3 linked regions of the Xenopus tropicalis genome follow. The protein of the gene in region 2 interacts with the protein of the main gene of each other region in a pairwise test. Links are inferred from orthologs where the notes say so. Each region holds a gene or a part of one and is shown on either strand. Other genes may lie near its edges.

Region 1 (3,520 bases), on a different chromosome or scaffold from region 2:
CCATCAGAGAAAAGCTAAGGGTGCCAAGTTCCAAAAATCACCCCTGCTGCCTTTTATGGGAAAATCCATAACTATTATTAGATATGAGATATTGCAGCACAATACTGGATGCCGCTTATTGCAGGGAGCCTTTCACACAGCACAATGGTTGCAGGAAAGATCATTATTGTAATGTGTATGGCCACCTTATGAAACATATGCATTGTGGCCCTAGCCCAAAACTGGACATGATTTTTGCATCATGATATAAAGGAAGAAGGCACACGAATAACCAACAGGAAATCCCTACACAAGCACAAATCTGAATACAGTAGGTATAATTCTACCTGGAGTGTCTGTCTGAGTGGAGGGGAGGCCGAATAGGCCGTGGAGGCTTTTCCAGCTTAACATCTCGTTCGGGTTCAGTCCCGTCGGCTGTGAGGCTGAGACACCCTGAGACGCTACTGCTGGTGGACGTGTTACGCCTGTGAGTCAGGTCGGACATGCTGGAGCAGCGAGAATGTTCAGAACTGTGACCTGCACAGAAAAAGAGCACATTGCAAACGTATTTAGTGATAGATACCTGCCGGACTTAAGGTGATATGCTGGAATATGAACAGAGACTCTTTGCAAGAAGGATAAACAACACTTGTGAGATGCTTACCTGACACTTTTGATTGCTGACTGGCCTGGCTAGAGTTCCGGGAATGCCCTGAATGGGACGTTTCCTCTGGGCTCGATAGGTTTTGCTCGGTTTCGTCAAATCCACCTGAAAATATAAAAAGACAATAAAATAAATGTGGATAAATTAAATACTGACTTTAATCCATAGATGGCTTGCACACCAAACATTAAAAGCTGCCTGATGGATTTCGTCCACAAGGCACATAATCATAGTCTATACAGAAACATTTACAACCGCTCTATTTAAAACACGTATCAGGATATTATGTCATAAACCCCATTACACTTTAACCCTTTAATGCCTTCAGAAATGGAGCAAAGGTTTACAGTTACTATTATCTAATCAAGATGATACAACATTTTTTTTTTCTTTTTCACTTCACTTTAAATATTTTCAATAAAATGTAGTTTGTATGAAATATAATAGGCTTGAATAGGAAAAAAATGGGCGAGTTGTTCTTATACTTTGAAGTTTTGGAGGATCTAAACTGTCCTCCTCTGTTGGCGCGGGACTTGGGGCTGTTTGCACTGGGGTGAGTTTTGTTTTTTGGCCCTCCATTGTAATTGCATTACCCCCTCTCAGCGCTGGACCTAAGGTACAAACCTGGGTCAAGAAATACCTGTTTGAATTAATGTCGGCTGAGCCACACTTTATTTGAATACTGTGGACAATGTTCTAGGTCTGTATTTCTAATGTGTTTATCTATAGTACTGGTCCTGCAGCTGCTCTGTATAATGCACAAGCCATCCAGGACTAGGCCATACCTGAGCTCAGCATAGCCTGCCGGCTTCGGTTCTGCCGTACGGTGCCACCCGCCGATCTCACAGTCCCTTCCCCTTTACATGTCATCTGTAATGAGGAGTCTTGTCCTGGAGGGGAAACTGTTTTGGCTGTAGATAGAGGTCTGAAGAAAGTGGAAAAAGAACAAGTTGTTAGCATGAAATAATGTAAATTCAGTATGTTATAAAGACATAGTGGTTCATGCTGTGTCTTTATAAAATAGCTTAATATTTATACTACTCAGGTATTTTTTTTAATTGATTTGAGAGAGAGGGAGCTGCCATGCTTTCATTCTTTAAAAAAGCCATTTTATTTTTATAGTTTAAATCAGTAAAAACGTGTTCAGATTATAATAAAAACTCTGCAGGATAGTTGCTTAGCATAGGCAAGCGACAGCTTTACAGCAGAGCCATTACTCAGACAAGGGAGTTGCCTTGCTTGTATGTATATGTATGAATAATTTTATTTATAAAGCGCTACTTATGTACGCAGCGCTGTACAGTAGAATACATTAATACAAACAGGGGGTTAATAAGATAATAGATAAATACAAAGTATAACAATAAATACAAATAAATACAAGATACAGTTACAGTTGCAATAAGTTAAGAGTCAAAGACACACGAGGATGGAGGTCCCTGCCCCGTAGAGCTTACAATCTATATGGGAGGGTAACTTACAGACACAAATAGGCAAATATAAGTGCTGTAGGTCACAGTGGGTGACACTACAATATAAGTGCTATTTCCCAGATCAGGTGCTGGGCGAGTGCTCCAAAAGGTAGTCTTTTAGTTTGGTTTTAAAAAGACTGGGGGAGGATTCTCTACGGAGGACATCAGGGAGGGAATTCCAAATGTAAGGGGCAGCAAGGCAGAAGGGTTTAAGGCAGGAAACCGCAGTAGTAGTGGGGGGCGCAACCAAACGGTTGCTCTGCGTGGAACGAAGGAGTCGGCCAGGAACGTACGGAGACACAAGGGAAGAGATGTAGTGGGGAGCAGAGGAATGGAGGGCTTTGAAGGTTAAGAGAAGAAGTTTGTAGGATATTCTTTGTTTAACAGGAAGCTTTACTAAGGTGTAAAAGCCTATATATAAGGAAGCAATAATGGAAGATCAGATGTAGGCAATGCTGTCACTTACGTCTTAAAGCACGGGTCACCAGAGAGCAGCGACATCCCAATAATTACCTGTCAAGAAAAGGCACGTTACAAGGGATTTCACAGCAGAAAGTGCGGTTAATGAGCAGATGCATGACCATAGAGCAAAAAAAGACCTGCTACCTTTAGAATGGAGTTGTCCTGCCTTGTGTTCCTGGTATCATAACCTTCCAGCAGGCAACAGCGGGCTGTGGAGCCAGAACCAGCAAACTCAGCCAGATTGAGATCAGCAAAGCCCAGCTGAAAAGAAGAACATGATAAAAATGGGTTAGAGTAGTACAATGTGAATGTGATTTTCAAGTAAATATATATATATATATATATATATATATTTATATCAATAATATATATAAGCTCACTCAGATGCAGAAAGATACGAAAAGTCAGAGATGTGGTAGTACAGAGCTACATGTTTCACATAGTGGAAATAAAGGTTTCATCTTAATTAATCCAGCACTGCACAATGCATGGAAAGGCAGGACTGTGAGACATGTTTACCATTTAGGCAAAGGCTGCCTTCAGTCCTGTGTATCCCTGTACATTCGCCTACTTGCGTCATGTTAGGTTATTAGCAGGGGGCCCATATCCCACAACCCTGGCAGGAAATACATGAAGGAAGAGCATAGAAGGATGCTCTGGCCGAGTCTCTTTCACTTCCTTCTCACAGCTGCTGATTCCGAATTGCTTGCTGTGCCATTTTCCCCTTCAATAACATTGAAGCACTGTTGCTGATATCTGCCCCAGTGCAGTATGCAGGAATATAATGTATGTACTAAACATGCAGAAAGCTGCAGCAACTCCTACTTCGTCGCTTGGCACATAGCATTTTTTATCTTGATGGATAACTGGGACCTGACAGAATCACAGGGTGGCCTGATAGGTAAAAGTATTACCACCCCAAGTGAAAAATGCCCAGACAGTT
Region 2 (3,520 bases):
CCATTCTTATCGCACGCCCTTTACTTAAAAAAAAATAAATGAAATCTTTCAGGAAGACTCCTCTCTGCACTCTTTTTAATAGTGTTTTTAACTTTTATGATTTATGCCTCCCTGCTTGCTTTCTCTGCACAATTGATCTACTTCAGCACTGTGGGCTGAAAGGTTAATCTTTGAAGCAGTCCTAATACAGATCTTTACATTAGTGCTGGAAAGGCAAGCAGGCATGCATGCAAGGCCCACGCATAAATAATTAAGTAAGGGGGAATGAATTAAGAACAATTTAACAAAAAGGTGGGTCAGTGAAGGAGGGGAGTTATGTAGTGGGCTTGAAGGGCACCTATCGCCCCCATATTGCTTCATTAGTTTTTCTTAAACATAATAGCCCCCCACCAGTGCTAGGCTACCTGCATCAGGAAGGAGCTTCTGGTGCAGGCAGTCATGTTATGGCACACGCAAGTTTATTATACACGTATGTGACATATGAGGGTGAGTCGCATCCACTGAAACAGATGAATAAATTGTAAAAAGTAAATAGCGTTAATCTGAATAATAAATGAATTAATTGGGGCGCCCTAAGTGGTGGGATAAAGGCATAGTTAAAGTTATTTGTACCAAATACAGCATGGAGACCCGGGTGTGTATACCCCGAGTCTATCTCCCAATGGATCTAAACCAGAACCCCAACACAGTCAATTCGGCTCTCATCATATAAAGATAGAAAAACCAAAAAGCTCACCGCTGTCCAGAAGTGGCCCGGGTGCTTAAAGCCCCGAACCCGTAGCTGGGGAAGGCAGAATCATATATAGGCAAGGAAGCTTCAAACGCACCGGACACAAAAGGTTCGCTAAAAATCGATCTTTATTACTCCATTTAAAATCAGTATATCTGATGCGTTTCGTGTGTTTGTGCACTTAATCATAGGCAGGTCCCATCCACCACGCCAATATTAAGCGCATGCACGTAAGTGAGTGGGTAGATTTGTGCATTATGTGCATGCACGCCAAACAACATGGCAACCCGCACTGGGAACTACCTCCCAGTGTGGGACCTAGCACCGATGGGAGCTTTTTATGATAATCTATTGATTTCCCCCAACAGGAGTGTGGGCTGTGAATTCTGACCCTGTATAAGCTGACAACACCATCTAACTATGCTGCCAGATTCTTCCTGTAAATCAAGCATTTAAGTTCTGCCCTACAAGCCTTGATTGACAAGCCCCAAGGGACCATAACAGCTTAAACTGAGGAAAATGGTCCAAAGCCATGCTGTCCAATGTCTGTGGTACTGAGGGCTGGAATTTTTCTGGGATATGTGGTGGAGGGCTGCTAATGGAAGCCACTCCCTTTTTTTTTTTAAACCGCACCCACTTAAAAACACACCCTATTACAAGAACTTTTAAGACCATACCCACATTAATGTTGGTAGCACAGCAAAAACCCAAATGTTTGGCGCTTACTGGAGGTATATCCCCTGTCATTTATATGTGAGCACAGCAAACCCCAGCACATATGACACACTTTAGGGATCCCTAACAACAATTTATAGGCACCCATCTTTGGGCCCCGACCCATAACTTAAGAATCAATGGTATACTTGCTCTTTTATGTCAGGGGGAATCTTTTTGTTTTAATTTTTTTTAATTTTTTTTTTACACCTAATGATTTCACATGTAGCTATCTTCTGCAATAAATAAATCAAAATTTGGGCTTGAGTACCACCTTTTTAAAAAAAGTTATATTATTTATTCTGTTGTGCTTCCACTTCAGCTTCAAGGGCTAAGCTGTCAATGCTGAATACTATGTCTAAGATACGTGGGCAGGTGAAGAATCCAGGATATCCGCAGCCAGAAGGTGTTTTAGGAGAGACTATGATCAAATTTGGCAAAGATCTTGGGGATGAATCAAATTTTGGTAAGTGCAGTTATTAATGCCCTAACTAGCATAATGCTTTTCTAAGTTGTGTTAAGTGTAGATTTCAGAGTGGCTGTAGACACTAATATGCTTTGTCAAATAGGTGATGCTTTGCTGGATGCTGGGGAGTCAATGAAAAGGTTGGCAGAAGTAAAGGATTCTCTGGATATTGAAGTGAAACAAAACTTTTTGGATCCGCTACAGAATCTTTGTGACAAAGATTTGAAGGAGATACAGGTGAGGCTTTGGACTAGTCACCTCCTGTGCTGGTATGCCAAGAACTGGTAAAGCAGTAACTTCAGTAATAAACTGCTATAAAGGTGCTTGGCTTAAGTTGTCAGTGTATGGTACAGATGTGCTTTTTAACATGTCTTTGTTTTGATAACTTCTTACATTAGAATTATGTGTATTGCAGCATCATCTAAAAAAACTGGAAGGCCGGAGGTTAGATTATGACTACAAGAAGAAGCGACAAGGAAAGATACCAGATGAAGAGCTGAGACAGGCCATGGAAAAGTTCATTGAATCAAAAGAAGTGGCTGAGACGAGCATGATTAATTTGCTTGATACAGATGTAAGTAGGAGTTAACTTTTTCATGGTGCTACATTACTGTAAATTATAATTTCAAACCACTTTGTTCATCCAGCCCCAAACTCAATTAGTCCACCTGGTCTTAAATAACAACTATATGCCACCCAGCTGCTGTCCTGGGCCAATGGCACTTGTAATTGTGCAATTAGCCCTATAATACACCCGCAAGTGATCCAGGACAGGGAAACCGTTAACGCATTGGCAGTTCCAGACCAGCAGTAGACAATGGTGGGCATTTATAATCTCTTGGCAGTAACTCATGGCAACAAATTAGATGTTTGCTTTCATTGTTCTACCTTTGGCTGGTTGAAAAAGGCAAATCACTGTGATTGCTATAGGTTACTGCCCAGGTGCAAATTTGCAAATGAGCCCCTGTGAGATATTAAGTATTAAGGGACATAAAAAGGCCAAAATAATGGTAGCACCTCAGGTCATAGAGGAGAATGTATAATCAATAGGTGGTACAAAAAAATTCTCTCTCCTTGACCTTTAAAGGGGTTAGAGAGATGCCTTTAATTTGCGATGAAAGACAATGCCCCCAACACATGTATATTAACTAACAAGGCAGAAGACACTAAAATGATTTGTGTTTCATCAGTCCTAAAACTAGATGATAACCCAGTTTAGCAGATAAATCAAAAACATAATGCTTGTTCATTTATTTGTGTGTGGCAAAAGTATATGAACCTAATTTTATTTGAAGGGGAAATTATGTTCAGAAGTTTCAACCAATGGTATGATAAATGGGTGTTCGTGTTTAGAGGCTCTGGGTTTTCACTCTTCTAGTCTGATGTTAAGAATACAGGTTTTTGAAAGTGTTTTGACTTGAATAAAGAAAATTTCTGATGACATACAAAAAAGTTACAGCTTGAGCATAAATAAACCCGACTATGTGGGGGAATCCAAAAAATGGAGAAAAGTGGTGCTTAAACTGGTTTAAAAAAAGTTTTCCATATCCGCAAACAGAAATCCGCCTACATTCCAACTCAACCACTACTTTTCAGGTGGATACAATTCA
Region 3 (3,520 bases), on a different chromosome or scaffold from region 2:
TATTGATTCAGATTTGATTCATCCAAATCTTGAACCTATTCGGTGCATCCCTATAGTGATACGGACACTAAAAAACTATTTTTCAAAATATGAATGTACATTAAAAGTTACATATAGGTCATGATAGTTTTTTATTGAGAGGGCTGCTTTTGTAAGTAATTGTCACCTAAAGTTCATTAACCTGACTGTTTTGCCAACCTAATTGTCCCTTCTTAGTCTGTTATAGCTTCTAATGCTAACAGACTCCTGATGCACAAATATGGCAGCCCCCCTCATGGAGGAACACGGGGATCAGAAAGAAAGAATGAAAGAAAATGGTCAAGTCAAGTTAAAAAAAAAAAGTTTAATTTCTGGTGTCAGTATTTCTTAAGGGTTCGTACTGATGAGCGTTTTTTCCTTTGCTCCCCTGCATTGGAAGCAGGAGACTGCCACCCCAGGGGAGCTCAGGAAAAAACGCTCATCTGTACGAGCCCTAAAACATTAAAATCAGAGAAGGTCTTCATGTAATTTAGCACTTTCTGTATGTTGGGTTCCTGGGTCCCCATATCTGTAGCTTAAGTTAATGGCAGTCTAAGTCAACTTAAGTCAAGATTCTGATGTATATTTTGAATTTCTTTCTCTAGCAATAAACCAAACCCAAATCAGATCAATGTGAATAACGTCAAGCCTGCAGTAGTAAATGGTACAGCAGTACAGGGGCAAAACGTGGCTGTAGGAAGGGCATGTGAAAGGGCATGTGAAAGCTGCTACAGTAAGTGTTTTTTAACCTTTTTAAAAAAAGAAAATATTTGTCATACATGTTTGTAATGAGGCACATCATTATTTATTATTATGTAGCTTTTTTTATTTGCTTTATCTTGTGTATAAAGTGTGAATGTTATATATAAAGGTGGATATTCAGAGGAATGTCCTGTGCACTTCATAATTTATAGTGTGTTAGTAACACAAATTTAAAAAGCACCAGCATAATCTGCAGTGCTGTACAAAAAATTGGTGTATGTGAAACATACTGATTACAACCAAAAAAAAAAAATTGTGTACAAGAGGGAGAGCGGGTTCTGCTGTGATGTTATCAGCAGATATTTAAAAAATGTAAAGTTTACATCTCCGCTCAAATTTAATTTTTTATACCAGTGGGCATGGGTAATTAATATAATATTCAGATTAAGCCTTTAAGAACTATGTCAGTTAGTACTATTCCCACAAGCAGCCTTTGAAGCTTCTGTCTGTTACAGCTCTGTTAAAAAAATAAATAAATGCTTGGACAGATTGTGGTAATATGAGTGACCTTATTGTAGGAATTTGTACATTAAACAGTTTTTTTATGTTGTTGTAAAAACCATATTGGTGATTTGTATTGATACCTGAAGCCAGTAGAATTCCTTGAAATAAATCCTATTCTTACATTAGGCATTTTGATTATTCTGCTTGTTAAATTTGCAGCTTTTTTTTTTTTTTCCCCCTGTGCTAAAACTTTTTGGTAGGCCCTGTAAAAGCAACGGTTAACGATATGAACACATCCCTTTGGCTCAGTCTATTTGGCATTTACTTTCCCTCTGAGTATACGCTCTGCATTCTGATTTGTGCGCTTCCCTGCACAAGTATCTCCCAGTGGCAAGAGGACTGTTTTGTAATTTGAATAAAAAGCTAAAACAAAAGTGTTCAGAAAGACTGGTTAATTGTCATGTAGACAAAAGTCAAAAAGCAAGTGTTTGCGTACAAGAGTAAAAATTTAAGTAGTTTTTAAATAAGACCTAGAGAAAGGAGCTGGACAAGTAGAAAGATTGAAGTCGGGTATATTTAAGAAAAGTCCCTGCCATGAAATTTTACTCGGATTTTAATGTTCTCTGCCCTCTTTCCATCAGCCACGCAGTCGTACCAGTGGTATTCCTGGGGACCTCCAAACATGCAGTGCCGCCTTTGTGCATCATGTTGGGCATACTGGAAGAAGTATGGTGGTTTAAAGATGCCAACACGACTGGATGGGGAGAGGCCGGGGCCAAACCGTAATAACATGGTGTGTGTATATCTGGACAGGCAAAGCATTATACCCCTTTTTTGTTTTTTTGTGTGCTCCTCTCCAGTTTTCTGAAATGAAATAGCTGCTTGATTGGTAATGTTTCTCTATATCCCTGTATCACAGAGCCCACATGGTCTTCCAATGAGAAATAGTGGAAGCCCGAAATTTGCAATGAAGACACGGCAAGCATTTTACCTGCACACTACAAAGCTGACCAAGATAGCAAGGCGGCTGTGTCGAGACATCTTTCGGCCAAGATATGCAGCAAGACACCCATATATGCCTATTAACAGCGCTGCCATCAAAGCAGAATGTAGGTATCTGTACAATGAATTATTCTTTAGAATACTTACCACTATCTTTTTATAGCAGCTTGCTTACTGACATACTGGCTTTTTCACAGGCACAACAAGGCTTCCCGAAGCATCGAAGACCCCGCTTATATTAAAACAGGTTGTCCGAAAACCCTTAGAAGAAGTGATGCGATATATAGGTAGAAATACTGTTGATAATCGGTTTTGATGTACTTATGTAAGTTTACAAGGGGGTTAAAAATATGAAACCTGTGTTTTTTTTTTTTTTATTTCTCAGAGGCACACCCCTGCCCTCCTAAACAAGACCTAATCAAAAACATTTCTACAAGTATCAACAACAGCTTGACCCCTACCAAATCCTCTCCTGTTATTAACAATGGATCACCAACCATCCTGGGAAAACGCAGCTATGAGCAGCATAATGGTATGGATGGTAAGTATCCCTTCTCTGGCATTATTTTTATGTCTCTTTGTGTCAAATAGTCTTCTATAAGGGATGTACTTTTTGCTAAGTGGTGCTGCACATTATAAAGAGCCCTCTAAAAGGGAGGACTTTTCTGTGCAAAGGTCATTCCTTCTTTGTATATTAAAACTGAAGTTAATAAGAACCAGAGATCTTTTTAGAAAGGCTTAATACCATTTGTGATCCAAGGTTTTAATTAAACTTTTTTATCAGAACTGCAGCAGTTAAGGCAAGCAGTATGGTTGCTCCTATATACATGCAGTATGGGCTAGCTGGGTCATTTAACATCCCCTTAACACACACACTATGTGAGTCCCTCTGCTTTCTAGAGAACTAAAACTCTTGTTGGGCACTTTTTTCCCCCCATGGTTTTACTAGCCCTTTAAAGGAGAAGGAAAGGCAAAGTCAGTTGGGGGTGCCAAAATGTTAGGCACCCCCCAGGGACTTAAATCGCCTACCTTGTACCCCGGGCTGGTGCCCCCTGTAAGGAGAGAACAGCACCAGCCCAGGGTACCTGTAGCGCTTCCTCCTTCCGTCTTCGCTCGCGCGCATGCGCAGTAGGGTGAAGACGGAAGAACAGAGAAGCCTGCTTTTCACTCTACTGCGCATGCGCCTGTCGTTTAGTCCTTCCAAAATGAAGCCAGAAGGAGGAAGCGCTCCGCTACAGGTACCCTGGGCTGGTGCTGTTTTCTCCTAACAGGGGCACCAGCCCAGGGTACAAGG

Evidence for each region.
Region 1: the proteins of sh3gl1 (region 2) and fam102a interact in binary tests that used the Homo sapiens proteins (3 or more experiments, as listed by UniProt). The two-hybrid records come from large-scale screens. The link is inferred for Xenopus tropicalis from reciprocal best matches to the Homo sapiens genes SH3GL1 and EEIG1.
Region 3: the proteins of sh3gl1 (region 2) and mta1 interact in binary tests that used the Homo sapiens proteins (3 or more experiments, as listed by UniProt). The two-hybrid records come from large-scale screens. The link is inferred for Xenopus tropicalis from reciprocal best matches to the Homo sapiens genes SH3GL1 and MTA1.

What each region holds. Positions count from the first base shown.
Region 1 is NC_030684.2:25,539,425-25,542,944, reverse strand, and holds part of fam102a (protein FAM102A), read right to left. Parts: intron 2,839-3,520; coding exon 2,722-2,838; intron 2,629-2,721; coding exon 2,582-2,628; intron 1,569-2,581; coding exon 1,429-1,568; intron 749-1,428; coding exon 644-748; intron 517-643; coding exon 327-516; intron 1-326. UniProt on the Homo sapiens protein: Key component of TNFSF11/RANKL- and TNF-induced osteoclastogenesis pathways, thereby mediates bone resorption in pathological bone loss conditions.
Region 2 is NC_030677.2:93,866,951-93,870,470, forward strand, and holds part of sh3gl1 (endophilin-A2), read left to right. Parts: intron 1-1,766; coding exon 1,767-1,910; intron 1,911-2,013; coding exon 2,014-2,147; intron 2,148-2,325; coding exon 2,326-2,484; intron 2,485-3,520. UniProt on the Homo sapiens protein: Implicated in endocytosis. May recruit other proteins to membranes with high curvature.
Region 3 is NC_030684.2:115,925,800-115,929,319, reverse strand, and holds part of mta1 (metastasis-associated protein MTA1), read left to right. Parts: intron 1-623; coding exon 624-751; intron 752-1,865; coding exon 1,866-2,017; intron 2,018-2,143; coding exon 2,144-2,333; intron 2,334-2,423; coding exon 2,424-2,513; intron 2,514-2,611; coding exon 2,612-2,767; intron 2,768-3,520. UniProt on the Homo sapiens protein: Transcriptional coregulator which can act as both a transcriptional corepressor and coactivator. Acts as a component of the histone deacetylase NuRD complex which participates in the remodeling of chromatin.